2 linked regions of the Drosophila melanogaster genome follow. The protein of the gene in region 2 interacts with the protein of the main gene of each other region in a pairwise test. Each region holds a gene or a part of one and is shown on either strand. Other genes may lie near its edges. The genes, in order: cmb and mib2.

Region 1 (9,017 bases), on a different chromosome or scaffold from region 2:
TCTTGTTTTCAGTGTATTTATATATATTATTGTTACATAATTTAGTGTTAAATAAAAAACTGATACCCAAAATGAGTTGCGAACTACGACTAAGGACACGACCATAAAAGATTTATCTTTTCCGAAATTCGTAAATGAAATATGAAATATCCGTACAGATGATGACTTCTTAAATAAGGAATGTTTGCTTTGTTGGGTTATTCTCTAGTCTATTCGAGACTGACGTCCTGTTTTTCTGCGCCGGAAGGCTCCGCTGCAGCCTGTCCATCTGCCTCCTCGTCGGGATTTTCGTTGTTCTCGCACTCCAGTTCGCCATTTCCCGCGGAGGAGACGTTCTTTTGGTCCGCCTCGGCCAAGTCTGCATCGTTATTCGAGTCCTGCGACTGGGATTGGGACTGTTTGCGCACACGCTGGTTCTTCAGCTTGGCCGGACTGGCTCCAGAAGGTGTCACCTTCGACTTGGTCTTGCAGCTATCCTGCGGCTGTTCCACCACAAACAGCTGCTCCAAATAAGAACGGTACCAAAGCAGGAACTCGTCCCGCTGTCGTGGTATGTCCATCTTCTTGATCTTGGCATATATGCGTTTGGGCGAAATTAGTGGCGAGCTGGCGGTCGAATTCTGGGCAGCAGTGGCCGTCAGCTTTGATACCTCTGCCAGTAGGGAGTCATTGATGACGGTGTTGTTGTGCGTCTGATTGCGAATGCGTTTGATAATGTACTCGATTAGTTCGTGATCCGGTGCCAGTTCTATGCTGGTCCCTGGTCCTGATCCCGAGCCAGAGGCTTGTTCTAGTTTTCCCTCGAGGATTTGCTGGTAAGGAAGACGCAATTATGAGTTAATCGATCCAGTTTACGAAAGCCTTTCTTACCTCTTCGTTCTCGGTCCTAAGAGAAGAGATAACAGCAGAAGCACTGTCCTCCATTTCATCCAGGTGCTGCCCGTTCTGTGGATTGGACAAACTTAGCTGCTTCACTGGCGTTCCTTTTTCGTCCTCGGGCCGATCGTTGTCTAGCTGCAGACGCATTACCTCTAGCGGGGTTTCACTGCGACTCTCGGTGGCCTCGGCGTCGCCAGTAGGTTCGTTCTCCTCCTGGTTAAGAGCCTTTCGCAAGCCGTGTGGTTCATGTGAGTGCTGCAGCTGCTGATTTTGTTGCTGTTGTTGTTGCTGCTGCTGCTGCTGCTGCTCGAAGAGTGTCTCCAGCCGGCGGTAGACATCCTCCTTGATTGATTCATAAAACTTTGTGGTGAACTTGTCGTTCTTCAGAGCGTTAACCAGCAGATTTCGATTCAGTTCCTCGGAGGCCGTTTCCTCGGTTTGCTCCATGGCATTTGATTCGTCCGCGGGCGATGCTTCTTGTCCGAGCGTAGGAGTAGTGTCCACTGGAGTAATCTGGGGTAGCTCGATGTAGTCCATGTAGTGAGCTGGAAGTTCGAAGTCGAAACGAAGATGTCGCTGCTGCAGAGGAGTAAGCGACACAGTCGAAGTGGTGGGCTTTGCTGGTACCTTGTTCCGCTGATACAGCGGACTGTTGCCATAGTTTACGTTCATGTTGAGATTGGAGGAGCTAGCCTGCTCGGACTCATCATCCCGCAGCGTGGAAAGCTGAGGACGGCGACGATTGCGACGTCGACCCGAGCCGAATATGACGTTATCATGGTTCTCCTCCACCTCGTCCACATCCTCATCGTCGTGGTCGCGAATGTGGCCTGCATCATCGCGCCAGTCCCTTTTTCTGCCCGAACTGCCGCTGTTGTTGAGATTATTGCTGCCATTGGAGCTGCTGCCATGCAAAGCGGTTAGTGGCGCCTCGAAAAAGTGACGACGCTGCTGCTGGTGGGTCAAACCACCACGCGTAGTAGGCGGAAGCAACTGGGGCGGCTGAAAGTAGCTGGGACGTGCCCGTTGTCGCCGATACTGCTGGAGGTCCACGTTCAGCTCCTCGTTGCTTTTATTTGATAAGAGATTTTGGCGCGAATGGCTGGAAGAGCGTACAGATATTAATGGGTTAATGCAAGCGGGTAGCAAAGAATCATGCAGTTGATAAACTAGCTAAATCTAGTGAGCGTTACTAAGTTAAGTTTTTCTATTCCATATATCCTTTTTAAATTGAATACACATCTTTTATAAATTAGCTTTGTTTACTGCCGAATAGGCACTTGCAAAACTTGGTCAGTACTTGGAGTTAGTCTTGGTTAGTCACTTTCAACTCTGTTAATGGGACACTTATCTGCAACGCGTGGTCGCACTTACCGGTGCACAGAATTGAAAATTAACTCTTCACAATAGTTTTATTTAATTTTTATTGCTTTTGACCCTTTTCCATCAAACAACCATTAATAAATCCAACACCAAAGTTATAAAGCATTACCTGCGGAAGTTGTCCCAGTAGTTGTTGGCTCTGTTTCCGGGTGGTACTTGATTGTTCAATGTAATACCGCCACCAGGTGCTCCTCCACCAGCTGCTCCCTCGGGCAGCGAGTGCAGATTGTTGGCATGCTGGTTCTGGGTTCGCAGATTCGAGTTGTTCTGATGTATCGTGTTGTTATGGTGGTTCATGAAGATGGGACCTGGACTTGAGCGGTAAGTAGGCGGCGACAGGGGTGTCTCGTTGTTGAAGTGCGTCGGCGGTGGCGGGGGAGCAGCATTGTTAAGGAACGGCTGCGCCTGATGCTGCTGCTGTTGATGATGATGCGATTCTGCCCCGCTACGATGACAGCTGCGCTGATAGTTACTAAAGGCGCTCTGGTGGGCACCAAAGTTAAATAGCTGCTCAGATTGAGCTCGACTGCTGCCCAGGCACAGATTGTTGGGCATCTGACCCATTCCAGGGCCCACCGGAGGCGGTACTGATTCCGAGCGCAAGCCGAAGCTGTGATCCTGGCATGCTACAACATTAAATCGATCCTGGAGCTGTGAAAAAACACTTGAATTAGTCTTTGATTAGGCTCTCTAATCTCATGGATTGTCTTACCGCATGTAGCTGGTGGTTGAGGTTGTCGATTTCGCGCTGTTGATGCCACAGTGCCTGGTTGCACTGGCACACAGAGTTGATAAGCATTTGCTGCGTCTGCATGAACTGCTGCAGCAGAACTGCGTCGGTAGAGGCATTCGATCCGGATCCATTTGAGGAGCCCCCTTGTTGGGCGGCTGGCAGCTTTTTAAACTCTGTGCCGGCACTGGAGCTCGGCTGACCGTAGACGGGCTGCTGTCCATGCCACGAACTTCCAGAGTTGTGTGATGCTGCTAGCGGATGCATAAAAATAAGCGTAAAACGAGGAAACTAATACATGAATTCAAGTTGGTAAAGTAAAGTTGGTAAATTTCCGCCTTTGTTGGTGGAATTAAAAACGTACCCCACATTCCAGGCACTGGTTGCATGGGGGGCGGCATGTACTGCGATCTATTGCTGCTGGATGGTATGCTGTCATTACCCAGGGATAGCGTATCAAGTGTCACATTCAGGTCATCTTCGTTTAGCGTCGACGGAGGAGCAGGCGGCGGTGGTGGTGGTGCCTGCTGTGGGGGAACGTTAGGTTGCTGACCTCGTCGTTGCTCCACCACTGTGTTGGCGGATGGAGCCCTCTTTAGGGTCGCTGAGGAAGCGGTACGTACGTTGGCGAAGTACTTATCGCTGTCAGTGTCGTCGTTTGCCTCGTCATCCGCCTCCGATGTGGTGTTGTTACTGGCTACGTAACGCTGCTCCAGTTCCCGCTGCTTCTGCTCGTATTCCGTTCGCAGGCGCTCGCACTGCGAGCGCAGTTCATCGCGCAGTTGTTCCTTGGTGGGCGTAGCCTGAAGAGAATTATCCACTTCGGATGGATCCTCTTCCTCGGTCATCCGCTGTCTCATGGGGGTGGGTGTTGGGGTAAGACTGCTTCTTTTAAGTGCATCATCGCCCATTTGAACAGCGGCGGCCGCCTGTTGTTTGCGTCGCTCAATCTCTGCCTTCAGGGCTAGGATACGGTCACGCTCCTTTTGCAAGCTTGCTGCTTCCGCTCTCAGTTCGCTCGTAACATCGTTCAGAGCGAATACGCGCTGGGCAATCTCGGCCGGCAATTCGCGCTCCACGCTAGTTCTTTCCTCACTACGCCGCTCTAAGGTGGAGCCCATGCTGGGAGTACTTTCTTCAATCTGGCTAACAGTGTACAGCATTCCCTTTAGTCTCGCCATCTGAGCCTTGAGTGCTTCTATATCTGCCGTCTTCTGGTTGATCATTGCCTGTGCGTGAAGTGCCCGTTGAGCAGCGTTGGCCGCCTCCTGGCGTATGATGGGTACGTTTCTCTGATACTCCACAGGAACAACACGCTCCTTGGGAGCCGCTGGGGCAGCCTCCTCTGGCTTGGGAGGAGGCGTGGGAGTCTCCTCTTTCTCTTTGATGACTCTAGCAGTCTCCCTGGCCGCACGGTTGATGCTGTTTAGTTCGTCCACCAGATTGCGCATATCCTCACGTTGGGTGCGCAGTGATTCCAGTTTCTCCTGCAGGGCTTCCTGCTCGGCCAGGATCTCGGGCCCATCATCGCCAAGCACCGTGCTCAGTTCGTTCTGGTTGTGTATAAAGGCGGTGAGATTCTTCATGCGCCCCACCAGCGACGCCATGTCGTCCTGTACCTGCTGCACGGACTCGTATTTGGGGGCCTCTCCCCCATTGACATTGTGGGGTAAGCTATCGGCTTGCTGGCGCAGCCGCTCCATCTCGTTAAGGTGAGTCTTGGCCAAATTTTGGATTTGTAACAGCTTCGCCTGTTCGTCGTGCAGGTGCTGCATGTTCCTATTGGAGGCTTCCAAGCGCTGCTGCAACTCATCGAAGCTGGGCGTGGTATCGGGCGTGGGCGTTTCCAAGACGCTGTGTAGGGACTGAATGGATTGGGCGCGGTTGTCGCTCATCTGAAAGGTACAAATGGTTTGAGTACTAGAAGGCAGACTTTTGGTTTTATTAACCAACTAACCTCGCTTAATGCAACATCCTCCAAGCTGGTCGAATTGACTACGCCTTCACCCTGATCCGAATTTGGGTTGATTTCGTGCACCATGTTGTTCGTCTGGGGCAAGAATTAAAGGATTTAGTTTCATTTATTATTACGATATAAAAAATGTTATTATCAATCTTATAAATGTTATAAATGTACGGCTCACTTGAAGTTCCTGACACAAGCTTTCAAACTCACCTCTACAACTTTCCTACTCGGTTGATATCTGCTATTCAGGTTCTCGTCTAATCCTAGCAGGGCGCGTAACACGTCAACCTGCGAGCGAAAACCTTCGGTTCTGGGAGCAAAATGGTGTACACCAAGAAGTCGGTGAACGAGTTGTTGCAGTCCAGCGGGGGTCAGTGGCGGTGCCTGCTCCTCGTTGCCACTCAAATTGCCGTTTCCGTTGCTGGTAGTTGCGTTCGGTATGACCACACCTACTGTGGCATTCGGAGGCGTCGATTGACGCAAACGCAGCAAAGCCGTCGAAGATGAGGGGGCGCCTGTGCTATTAGCTGACGAGGATGGCTGGTGCTGAACCCTCTGGACAGGACGGACGGGGAATCGATAGCGCTGCTGCTGTTCCTGCAGTTGCTCTGTAATGGAAAATAGCCAAAGATCAGTATGGATGTTTAGGTCCATTGCTAAATACTGCGCTGCGAACTACATCATCTCAGTGGGCGTTTATTTTCGTGCGCATCTTATTTATAGAACATGAACTGGCGCACCGATCTCTGTGTGGGCCAGGCCGATCACTTTGCCAGGTGCGGATATTGGAAATTGCTCAATTAAATGTGTATATTCCTCAACGGTTTCAGGACCCATTACCTGCTGTATCGTAGTTGCCGTGTTCGGCGGCCAACTGACGCAGTGCCTCGCGCTGCTGTTGCTGTTGTGCAGGCGACCTGTGATCCTTGCTAGACAGATGCTGCTCCGCCGGCGATCGATTCTTGGCGTTGGTGATGCGTGCTCGCTGGAGGAGATCCTTTAAGCAACAGTAAATGAAGATTAGCAGGAAAACCAGCACGAGGATTGCGGTAATTTTGCTGATTTTAGGTCTATATATATATATCTATTTCAGATATATATATATATATGTATAAGGGCGCTGCTCTGGCCGATCGAAATTCGTTGTCCGCAGTGGTTGAGTTCGCATTCGCTACTGAGCCAGCGGCTAACGAATTTCCGCAGGTCGCGATGAGTGTAAAGTGTATTTATAAAACCAAGAAGAGAAAGGTCTTGGTGTCTTCTCTTCGAGAAGATTTGCCATGGCAACCAGACGTCCGTCTAACTTACATTCAGAGTTTTCAGCGTCTCCCGCTGCAGCGTCTCTGGCTCGACAAGTTCCATGTCCGGTTCGCCCAGGTGCTCCTGCTGCCGGCGAGAGCGGGCCGACCGGCTGGATGTCACAGATGCACTCGACCCGGACGTGGGTGCTCCGTTTACAGGCGTTTGTTGTTTAGGCACCGCACCGGTTGCCCCGCCCACCGAGTTGTTGTTGCTGCTGCCATTGCTGCGGGCGCTGGCGTTGGCTTGGTCCACAACTACCTTGGGCGGCGGCGCCATTAGAAAATATATATATATATATTTGCGTACAAAAAACGACGCTACAAAATTGAAAAAACTCCTCTTTTTTGTACTCCCACTTTGTTTTTTTGCTTTGCGCACTCTGACAGCTGTTCCCAACCAGGGCTGGAAGCTAGTTAACAAGCCTACCAAGTTATGGTCACACTGGCAGCGGACGTTTTTTGAAATCGAATGTTTTCTAAAATTCAAAAATAAATATTATTTTTAGTTTAAAATAAAATGTATATCTGTAAAAAGTATTTTAAATGCTTTTGGTGTAGATAAACTAACGTTACTTGGTAATTTGATATCTTTTAAGGATAATTATTTATTTGGAGATTACTTTATAATATGTTCCTTGGATAATAAACATTATATGACTAGAGCCATTTTCCCTTTCAAGTTTGGACGTGCCTACTTTCCCTGCTTGCGCTGGATGATGTCCTCCTTGAGCGCACGAATCCGATCCCTCTCCGCCCGGAGTCCCACCGCTTGACCGCGTAGATCACTGGTGAAGTCCGTGAACATGTTAAGCATGGAATTCAGGAGCTCGGCGTTATCGGGAGCACTCGACGAGGTCGATGGATTCTCTTCTTGGGCACTCTCTACGGCCTCGCTGGCCACTCGGACTTCTGACGAGGTGGTCTGCCTGCTGGTCTGAACGGAGGTGGAGCTCTGGACCTGTACCGTTTGCCTGGAGGACATGTGCTCCTCGATCATCTTGGTGGTGTCCACCATGTTCTGCACGCGCTTAAACTGCGCCTTCAGGTTGGCGATCTCGTTTAGCTTCTCCTGCAGATAACTGGCCTGCTCCTCTTTGTCCTCCCCGCCCTCTTCCTCACCAGATGGTGCCTCTTCCCGGTTTGTGAACTCTCCAGAAGCACTGGCGGATGAAGCAACTGTTACTGTCTCCGATGAGGATTCAACGTGGGACTGAACCTCCTCCTCCTCGGTGGACTGCCGCACTTGTCGGCGCTGGGCATTCAGAAGGGTCAGCTCAGCGGCTCGTAAGCGCAGTGTCTCCATCTCCTCAAGCAACTGGCGGTGCTCCTCCTGCATCTCTTGCAGCTGTCTGTTGGAAGCAGCTAGGCGCTTAAAAAATACAAATAATTAGTTTTGAAAGCTTCAATAATGAAAAAATTGGTTTAAAAACATCATAGTTCAAAGACTACATTAGGGCATCAAAAGAAAAATGATTTTGTATATTATTATTAAAAAACTCTATTTTTTAGCTCACTGGTATAGAAAAAGCTTCGTACTTAAATTTCATTTCAACTGAAACATCTAGAGACTGTAGGCTTATTGGTGTGACTCATTCATTTTGTTGTCTAAAAAGAATGTGTCACGGTATTTATTTAACTTTACTGACTGTGTTTTCTTATTGTTTTAAAACACTTAAATACTAAGAGTTTTGCAATTTCCCGAAGACTCCAGCTTACCTCGCTCAAGGCGGCATTGTCCCCATTTTGAGGCCTATTCAGTTCGTTGACCATTTTCTGGGTTCCTGAGGAGAAGAGGGAATACTTGGTGTTATGTATATCGTGCACGTTGATTATTTTCTCAATACAAACAAAGGCCCATCGCAAGGCACTGTCTATAAATAAATGGCTCTTTGTTAAATTATTTTTCAGTTAGAATAGTGTCAGTCATCTTGGCATTTTTGAAGACAAAACTAACAAGTGCACTTATGAAAATGTACACCACAATACACCACATATATTATACTTGAAAATGCTACCTTTTAATCGTATATTCGAATCCTCCGAGCGATGAGCTGTGCGCACAAAGAGATGCCCAAATTTCAACTGAAACGATGTGCCGAAAACGAAAATATTTTGAATCGTTTTCGTGTTCGTGTAGAGTTTTTAGAAACAGCCGACAAGCTTTTCCACATTAATATGAAAGTCTACAAAGGAAACTTTTTTTATGTTTAGAAAAGGAAGGTAACAATTAAATTGAAAACATGCTTAAAACATTTTTTCGTTGTAATTGTAACAGAAGCATTTTCAAAAAAAAATTTAAATTAATTCATAAAAATATAGTTATAAATATAAACCCCTGTGTTAAAGTAAATGTACATCAATTGCATGATGATTTAGGTGAACCTGCTGTGAATATGGTGATCCAAATTTAGACTTCCAAGAGTCATCGCCTTTCCCACCAATTCATTTGCCAGTTGTTTGCAATGTTTACATCGATATAGTGATAAGATAATCTGAGGCTTGAACCTTATAAAGGTACATTTTCACAAGGGAAGAGATTCAGTTGAATAAAAATCTGACAATGAGTGGAGGTGTGCGGTTCAGAAGTTGGAATACAAAACTATTATAATTTTTCTGTTTTGCAGAAGTAATATGGTACTTTATCTGCATATTTTGCGGTGTTTTTGGAGCAAGACCCAAAGACTTGGACGTTTCTGGAACAACAGATAGCACCCTAGAAACGGATTCAACTACTTCCGGTCTGGAATATGGTCTAATT
Region 2 (9,048 bases):
TGCTCTAGGCGGGCAAACTCTTGCTGCAGCTTATGCAACTCCTGTTGGAGATTCGTTTTCTCGTCTATGAGAAGGAGCATTTTCTTTTCCGTCTCGAAGCATTTTTGTGCCAGGGCGTCGCGATCCTCCTGAACTGCCTTGCTGTCCAGGAGTCCTGTGCGAGAGCCACGGGACAAGGAACTGGCTACACCGCCCTCCGGCGTGGATGCTTGCCTAGTGGCCTCAAGTTCCTGAAGGGCGCGCATAATGTTTGCTTGCAGTTCCTCCTCCAGACACATGATCTCTGTGATGTAGGACTGCTTCTCTGCACAGTTCACGGCGCAACCAAGGACCAACTGCAGCAGACGCTCCAGCTCTCCCAAGTCGCACTTCTCAGCGATCCTCTGCAGATCAGGCTTCGAGAAATCACTCAGCGAGTAGTTCAGTACGTCGCTGTAGTAGTCGTACACGGACTGGGTCACCTTTTTAAGATTGCTCATCCGCAATCGCCAGTTGCTGCCCACGGCACTGGCCTTGATCTTGGAAAGCCAAGCGTCGGTGAAGGATTCGGGGGCGAACTGGTTAAGAGCCTGTGAATAAAGGAGCTATTAAATATTGATGAACTATATATGTATATATAGTTACCTGAGCCAGTGCCACTCCGTCAGCTAAGGATTCCGCATCCGCATGCGGGGCATTTAGATTGAGGGTCTTGAACCACTCCAGCAAGCTATAGTACATCTCGTTCTTGGGCGCGGACATGTTGCAGGTGTGAACGAAACGCTAAACGAAACAAAACAAACTAAAAATATGCACAATTTCACAAAAAAAGAGCTCTCAGCTGTTGCACTAAAAACCAAAACATACATCGAACTGCACGACAGCTATCGAAAGCCATTGAGATGCACTTTCTCTATCGATAGAAAATATCGTTATTTATTATTTATCATGTTTACAAAATTAAACAGGAATTAAATATGTATGTTTATAAAAATATAAATGTTAATATTTAAATTAAAATTAATACATTTTACCCTAGAGCTTTTATAATTTTAATATCAGTAACATCGAAGTTTGGGTACAACCTCATGTTAATAAAAATAATTTTTAATATATTCTGTCAATCATTGCTTATATTAAAGTCAATTGCCATGGCCGAACCACGCCCACCATCTAGTGCCTTTAGCATGCACTGCTCCGCCCACTTTAGCTTCTCATCCTGCTCCTTAATCTTGTCCAGTGGGGTCCAGCTCAAATCGTACTCCAACCTGTAGCTGCCTTTGAATGTTTGGTCAACGGAGAGACTCCATTCCTGAAAGTGTACATCCATTAATAATGCGATTTTAGAATTATTTTCAAACAAAACGTACTTCCGGTGATAGCATGCTGAAATAGTTTTGACCCGATGGCCTTTGATAAAGATGATAGATGTGTCCGGGTTTTTTGGTGAAATTGCAGGCCGCACTGTGCAGATCTCGGTTGAGAGTGGACTCCTTAAGTATCTCCATCGCTTGGGCCTGAAGCATTTTGATCTATGAAAGATTTATTAGTTTGTATTATAATTGTTAAAGAGGAGTATAGCTTACCTGCTCCATTATGACCCCCAGCTTTTGGCAAGTTGTGTTTTTCAATTGTTTATCAGCATTCTGAATTTGTTGGGCCAATTCGATGATATCCTCCTCCTGGTGCATGGACACACGCATGGGGTTTATCTGCAACTGGGGATTCCTCTCAACCAGTTGGGCTAAAAAATACAATATTTATTTGTTTACCTCTCAGTAGTTATATCATAGAAGCGTACCCTTTTTTACAGCTGTCTGATACGTCAATTCGTCCATTTCGGCCGCTCTTTTCATCACACGCTACCGAACATGAATACAAATAAGTAATCACTCCGCGATTGACAACTATGTAAATTTATGGACTGCCAAAAATAAAATAATAACATGTGTTCTTTATAGCTGGTATATCTCCTCCAGTCATCGTTTTCCCTAGGTGTTATCGATCACTATCGAATAGATGTCATATTGCACGGCCGTCTCTAGATAGAAAGAAGAAGCACACTAAATTGTAGTTTTATTTAATAGTTCTAGCGAAATAGTGAATTTTGGCCATTTAACTAAAAAATTGTAATGTCCAGGCGAAATTGACCATAAGTGCGGTATCTGTGTGTTAAATAGTGCGGAAATTAGATCGCGTGCGAGTGAACTATGCCCTTTTTGGCAACCAGAGCAACGGTGTCACTGCATTTTAGCGAAAGGAAACACTAAATGCCCATTAAAAAGCGCACGCGCGTATAAAATGCACCATTAAAGGCTTGAGAACTTTAAGTTTTTCATTGCGAACAGCTGGAGCTAAGCGACAGTATCACAAATTGCATTGGTAAGCCCAAAAAAAAATCCAAACCAAGCCCCCAATAATCGCTTTTCACATACTCAATTTTGCATAAGTATATATTTGTAAAATATATACACATACGTATATATATGTGTGCGATGGCAAAACGGGCGTGAGTGTGAGTGTGTGCTTGGACTTTCGTAAACAACACATGCGGGTCGATTCCTTGAATGACTTCGCTGCTTGACCAAGAAGTCACAGGCACTTGGCTTTTGTCAGCGGGACGATGAGAAATCCGTATCGAAATTGAAATCGGAGGTTCAGACGGTGCATATATACATATATCCGTCTTATCGGCATGCGTCATGCGAGCTTCTGGGCTGCACCCACACCACAAAACCTCGGACTGCCAGAAACCGAAGCGCTGGCGATCGGGAAACATATCTGGCATTTGAATGGCATTTCCTCCCCCGACACCCCATAAATGATGCGAAGGGTTAACAAAGAAATCTCAAGAGTTTTAATACAGAAATCTCTAGAAAATTTTAATTCTGCTTAAGTATTTTGTGAAGAGTACAATTTCTTGCTTAGAATTAAGCCACTGCAATGTTTTAAAACATGCTCATAGAGACCCTTCCATGCTTGAGCCTACAAAGACTTCTGAGATGACCCCGATATGCTCCTCTCCTTTTGAGTCATGCGCTGACGGGGCCGCCATTTAGTTGACCCAATTATCAGCCAGGTCCCATCAAACGCCGTGCCCCGAGTATTGTCAAATGTCACATTTATGCTATCCTCCTTGCAGGCTGAATCGGATTACACAAATTGAGCCAACCAAACGCCATGCGAGCCTCCATTCCGCCCGGCATTCGAGTGGTGCGCGGACCCAACTGGATCTGGTCGAATCAAGGTAAGAACGCATTCAGGCAGCCACGGGCCAGCTTGTTTACTTTCACCCACCTCCAAAGAGGCGAATTAACTTGCCATCCGCTCTCTGTTTATAGATACGGGTGTTTTTGTTATATAGTTCAGATCGAAATTTGCGTACGGTAGAGATTAGGCGGTGGGGATGTCGCCAACTTAGGCATTCAATTTCGGTAAAACCCATACTTAGTCATACGTTCTCCGATTAAAAGGGCTTTACAATGGGATTATTACTTCTGTTTAAACTCCAATATCTGTCCTTAAAAAAAATCATGTTTATAATTTATTAAGCTGATTTTATCCGCATATTTTGGATTTGATAGCGTAATAATAATAAGCAATATCTTAAATAAACATTTTTATACCTCTTACGATCGATCAATATTTGATCAAATTTAATCTACTGATACTTTAATTTTTGTTATAATATGTATGTAGAAAAGACATGATAAATAATGAATATATGGCATAAAGGGAATCACTTCGTGGCCAATACTTACTGTATACGCCAAACGCAACTCACTTGGCATTGGCACCCGTAGAGGGTCCGTTGAGAGTGTGCGAGTGCGGAGGGGTGTGGGGCAATGGGACGGGATGGGACGGAGAGGTGTACGTCCGTGTCCGCTGCTGCTGCTCGGGGCGTTGTTGAATGTAAAGAGGACGCGCCCGCTATTTTTAGCAACACTCACTGCGGCAGCAGTGAAATTCTTGCGCTTACCAATTGCTTCTGCTTTCGTCGCTTCGTTTTATGGTTCATATACATACATATGTACATATATATGGCGGGGATGTGTGGCTCTCGATGGTACGTACATATATAGTACGCCACCCTACGTGGCAGGTAAATACATATGCACATACATACGTCCGTAGGCAGCTGCCCGCCAAACAATAATATTGCGTAGTTTTTAATTGAATTAATTGTCTTTCGCTGGAACAAATTCGTAACGTATTACAAACAATTAGATGATGAGGCTTATATCGTTTCGAAAGCTTGATAAACCGACTGTATTATATGTGCCATGAAAAGAGATTAGAACTCAAAACCTCAAAAATGAAAGGAATGTAGAACACTATAATTTTCAATTACATTTTGATAGTTGCAAATGAATATTACCAAGAGAGAACATTTCTTCAGATACACTTCAAAAACAATTTGAATCATTTTGTGGAAGTTAAACCAATCACCAAAGCCTAATTTGATAATAAACGCAGTAATGTTTAAGCCTATTGAAGGATCCTATTAAAGCAGCTGCACACGTTTAGGATTAGGTCATGGTATGTGTTCCCCCCTCCCCAAGTCGCCCTATTCCAGCCTGTGCAGCGAATGCATATGCACATGTCAGGCGCTAGGGCGCGTGCCATTTTGTCTCCAACCTTTTTTTGAGTGTTTATTTTTAGTTACACGGGTGGGGATCGCGAGCAGTTACACAGCTCCAGCCGGCCTGATATTTGGGGACGATGTGGAGAGTTTATTTTTGGACCTTGGTATTCCTCCGACTGGGGTGTGTTGAAAATAGACATAAACAAATTTTCAGATGGGAGCCCAGCCATCGGTGCTCCCATTCCTCCCCAGGCCAACATCAAATGTCACCCTCTAGAGAACGATTCCACATCCACACCCGTGATACGGGGTAATTATAGAGCAGCTGCACGCCCGAGTCCGAGTGCATAACAAAAATCCGCTTGGAGCCCGAGCCCGAGTCAATGATTATGGGTATTTATAGTCACGGCGCGTTGTTTATGAGGGGGAAGTGTGCGCTCTGCATATGTCTGATATCCACCGGATGTGGATGTGGGGATGGTGATGCCGATGTACACACAATGCAGCCCTAGGAGCATCCTTGTGGCAGCTCTATAGCTCTATAGCTTCTCCAACTCACATCACGTCACTCTCGACTTTGTTTCATTGCTTACGCAACAGACGACGGAGAAGGTCACGTTGGAACCGTTTGCGAAATCGGACGTTGCGGATCGACACATTCGCCAGAAAACACTGTCGTGGTCAACTGGGATTCCGGACACCGGACCAACTACCGTGTGGGCTACCAAAACCAGTACGACTTGATAATTGTAGATAATGCTCAAGTTGGTAAGTGACGATATTTAAGAAATCTATTCAATTAGTTAATTTTAATTTTCCAAATTACAATTATTTATAGTTCATTGTTTATAAGGTCTTATATTCGAATTCTTTTTTCGCAGGAGTTCGTCACTCAAATGTTGTCTGCGATGGCTGTTCCAAGGCGGGTATCGCTGGCATAGTATTCAAGTGCGCCCAGTGTCCCAACTATCACCTATGCGCCTATTGCTACGCAGAGGATCTGCACGATATTGAGCACCCGTTTATCCGCTACACGACTCCCAACTCGCTGGGCGTGAGATTGCCCATGAGAAAAGGTGCCAAGCGCATCCAGCTGCGAGGCATCTTTGTGGGTTCCAAAGTAGTGCGCGGTCCTGACTGGGAGTGGAACGAACAGGACGGCGGAGAAGGCAGGACGGGTCGGGTAATGGAAATCCGAGGCTGGGACAACGAATCGTGTCGCAGCGTGGCCAACGTAGCGTGGGTAACCGGATCGACGAACGTCTACCGTCTAGGTCACAAGGGAAACGTTGACCTCAAGTACATTACTGCCACGTGCGGTGGTCACTACTATAAGGACCACATGCCTGTTCTAGGTCAGACAGAGGAGTTGCAGCCGGTGGCGCCCATGGTGAAGCCAAGCTTTTCCGTGGGCGACCGCGTCAAGGTTTGCCTAGAGGTTGACGCCCTAATGAAATTGCAGCAGGGCCATGGCGGATGGAATCCGCGCATGGTCGAGCATTTGTCCAAACTGGGCACAGTACACCGCATCACGGACAAGGGGGATATACGGTGAGAATATATAATTTGGTTGATTTTATTTGGATTTCTAACACAGTCGAAACCCAAACAGTGTTCAGTATGAAAACTGTCCCAATCGATGGACCTTTCATCCCGCCGCACTCGTTAAGGTTGTCTCTTTTCGTGTCGGTGACCTGGTCACCATCATCAACGATGCCAACAAAGTGCAGCAGCTGCAGAAGGGTCACGGCGAATGGATAGAAATCATGCGACACGTGAGTATTCAGATTATGTTAAATCTTTTTTGAGAGTATTCTTTAAAAAAAATGTTTTTCAGGCCCTTGGAAAAATTTGCAAGGTAGTGAAGGTGTACTCGGACGGTGACCTCCGCATCCAGCAGTTGGACGACGGCTTCGAGTGGACCCTGAATCCGAAATGTGTCAAACTAGAGCGTTCTCCTTTGGCAACAGCAGCTGAGCGCTCTAACAGTATGATGGACCTAAGCCACCGACGCGCTGACCATGTAATGACACCGCTCTCTGGCCTCTCCGGTAGTTCGGTTGCCGACAAGCTGGTGCGCGAGGCTGCCCAGGGCCATTTGGATTTCGTGCGGCAGTACCTGGACGTGAATCCCAGCCAGGTGGATGTGATGAGTGGCGGCAAGGCTTGTATTCAGGTGGCCTCTCATCAGGGCTACGTCGATCTTGTCAGCTACCTCATCTCCAAGGGTGCCAACGTGAATGCGGTCGACAAGGAAGGTGATTCAGCTCTGCACTACGCAGCCTTCGGCAATCAGCCGGCCACCATGAGAGTGCTGCTGCAGCACGGTGCTGAGGTGAACTTCCTAAACTCGAGCCACTGCTCTGCACTGCACATCTGCGCGCACAAGAAAACGCCGCACTGTGTGCGTGAGTTGCTGCAGCACAATGCCAACGTAAACATTCAGGATTCGTACGGGGATACGGCGCTTCACGACGCAATCGGCAAAGAGAATACGGAAGTTGTGGAGTTGCTTTGTAATGCTCCGAATCTGGACTTTACGGTTAAGAATAATCGCGGCTTTAACGTGCTACACCATGCAGCGCTTAAAGGAAACGTGGTAGCTGCTCGCCGTATCCTGTTGCTCTCCCGCCAGCTGGTCAATGTGCGCAAAGACGATGGCTTTGCGGCTCTTCATTTGGCAGCCCTTAACGGTCATGCCCAGGTTGTGGAAACGCTGGTCACTGAGGGCCAAGCGGAGTTAGATATACGCAATAATCGCCAACAGACGCCGTTCCTACTGGCCGTCTCCCAGGGCCATGCCGGGGTAATCGAGCGACTCGTTCGCCTCTCCTGCGACGTGAATGCCAAGGATGAGGATGGCGACAATGCGATGCACTTGTGCGTCATTAAGAAGTCCAATCTGCAGTCGGCCGCGGAGCCTCAGCCAGAGGAGGCTCCTGAGATTCACAAGTTTTACCTGAGTCTAGTACACTCGAGCATTCGTCCTGAGGATCGTTTGATGTACAGTATATTGATCTATCTTTCGAGGGCCGGCTGCCGAGTGGAGCTGAACAACGCCAATGCAAGCATTTTTGAGTGGATAACGGACCGCCACATCAGGCAACTGATTTTTGGGCAGCAGGGCGAAGCTGAATCGCTGCCTAGGAATCTTCAAGCTTTGGAAGTGTCCGCAGGATCAGCCGACGGTGAGGAGAGCTCTGCGTCTGCTGGAGCTGAATCCAATGGAGCCGGACCTGGAAGCGTTGCAGCACCCCCACCACCGCAGCGCCAGACATTTGAACTAATGCCAAAGCCAAACGATATCCCAGCCATTGGAGTTGGAGCATCTCCATCCACGCCCTCCGCCTCGCCGGGCGTAAAGAAACTGAACTCCGACGCAACACCGCAAAACGTCTCTCCACAGGTGGCACCGCGCAAGAAGGCGCCCAAGCCTCCGGTTACCACTAGCTCGAGCAGTACCGCGTTGGAAGCCGGAGCGGCGGGACCCAGTACCAGTCCGGTGATCGTCCCCGGTCCCCATGAGTGCATTGTGTGCAATGAGATCCTGCCGATGGTGCGCTTTGAGCCGTGTCAGCATCAGATCGCCTGCGAGGAGTGCGGCATCCGAATGAAAAAGTGTCTCCGCTGTGCCGTGGCGATCGAGCGGCGATTGACGGTCAGCGGCCGAGTGGTGGCCCTGCCCACGTCCACGTCGTCACCTAGTGACCCCACTCGCCTACCGTCCGGGGATCTACTTCGCTATCTGGAGAACAAAGTGCTGGAGTTTGAGGAGTCGCACTTCTGCGGTATTTGCATGGAGCGAAAAAGGGATGTGGCCTTCCTGTGCGGGCACGGCGCGTGCTCCCATTGTGCCGAAACGCTCCGCACATGCCACATGTGTCGCAAGACAATACTCAAGAAGATCAACCTGTACTGAACGGCGGTAACGGAAACGAAAGAAAAGCAAAGGCGGCAGGATCAGCAGCAATTCAAACAGCAACCAAAGTGGCTTGTATATATACATACACAAAACAAACACACACTCACATTGCCGTGTCATGTGCAAATCGAAATTATTATTTATTGATCACAAACGAAATTTACGAGTTCTTTTTTAATCGGTTCATCATCGGCATCGTCGCAACACGCAACAAATTAATGTGCACCTTCTCGTGTCTAGTTATTAGCCCCGTTTAACCATGTCTGGTAACGATAAATACATAGGAAACTAACTAAAGCATACAAATATTTAATAGTCATTTAAATGCAAATATACAAATATAAAATTATTTAATTGAGTGAATTTCAATCGATGTCGGTGGTTAGCCTACAGAAAATAAAGATACTTTATTTCTGAATATGCTGGGGTGACTTTTAATTGTATTGGTATTTAAAAGGTTTAGTTTAAAATTGAATATATAATAAGTTTAGAAAGATTTTAAAACTGAAATGTTGTAACGGCAAAGTGTGAACAAGTTATTTTCTTTCAGTACGCTGCATAA

Evidence for each region.
Region 1: the proteins of mib2 (region 2) and cmb interact in a two-hybrid assay, tested with the Drosophila melanogaster proteins (one large-scale study listed by BioGRID).

What each region holds. Positions count from the first base shown.
Region 1 is NT_037436.4:13,440,238-13,449,254, reverse strand, and holds cmb (combover), read right to left. Parts: upstream 6,662-9,017; 5' UTR 6,537-6,661; coding exon 6,267-6,536; intron 6,137-6,266; exon of another isoform or gene 5,956-6,136; coding exon 5,799-5,955; intron 5,567-5,798; coding exon 5,169-5,566; intron 5,043-5,168; coding exon 4,950-5,042; intron 4,888-4,949; coding exon 3,357-4,887; intron 3,247-3,356; coding exon of another isoform or gene 3,244-3,246; coding exon 2,975-3,243; intron 2,914-2,974; coding exon 2,372-2,913; coding exon of another isoform or gene 2,368-2,371; exon of another isoform or gene 2,294-2,367; intron 1,982-2,293; coding exon 871-1,981; intron 813-870; coding exon 210-812; 3' UTR 10-209; downstream 1-9. Other genes in the region: CG14109 (uncharacterized protein), read right to left, coding at 6,951-7,628, 7,976-8,029; CG10140 (uncharacterized protein), read left to right, coding at 8,820-8,829, 8,884-9,017.
Region 2 is NT_033779.5:19,032,640-19,041,687, forward strand, and holds mib2 (mind bomb 2), read left to right. Parts: upstream 1-1,817; 5' UTR 1,818-2,361; intron 2,362-2,860; exon of another isoform or gene 2,861-3,058; intron 3,059-3,121; 5' UTR 3,122-3,159; coding exon 3,160-3,226; intron 3,227-5,164; coding exon 5,165-5,332; intron 5,333-5,445; coding exon 5,446-6,115; intron 6,116-6,176; coding exon 6,177-6,339; intron 6,340-6,401; coding exon 6,402-8,483; 3' UTR 8,484-8,902; downstream 8,903-9,048. Other genes in the region: hook, read right to left, coding at 1-569, 625-741; CG31800 (uncharacterized protein), read right to left, coding at 1,100-1,291, 1,350-1,511, 1,566-1,723, 1,781-1,817.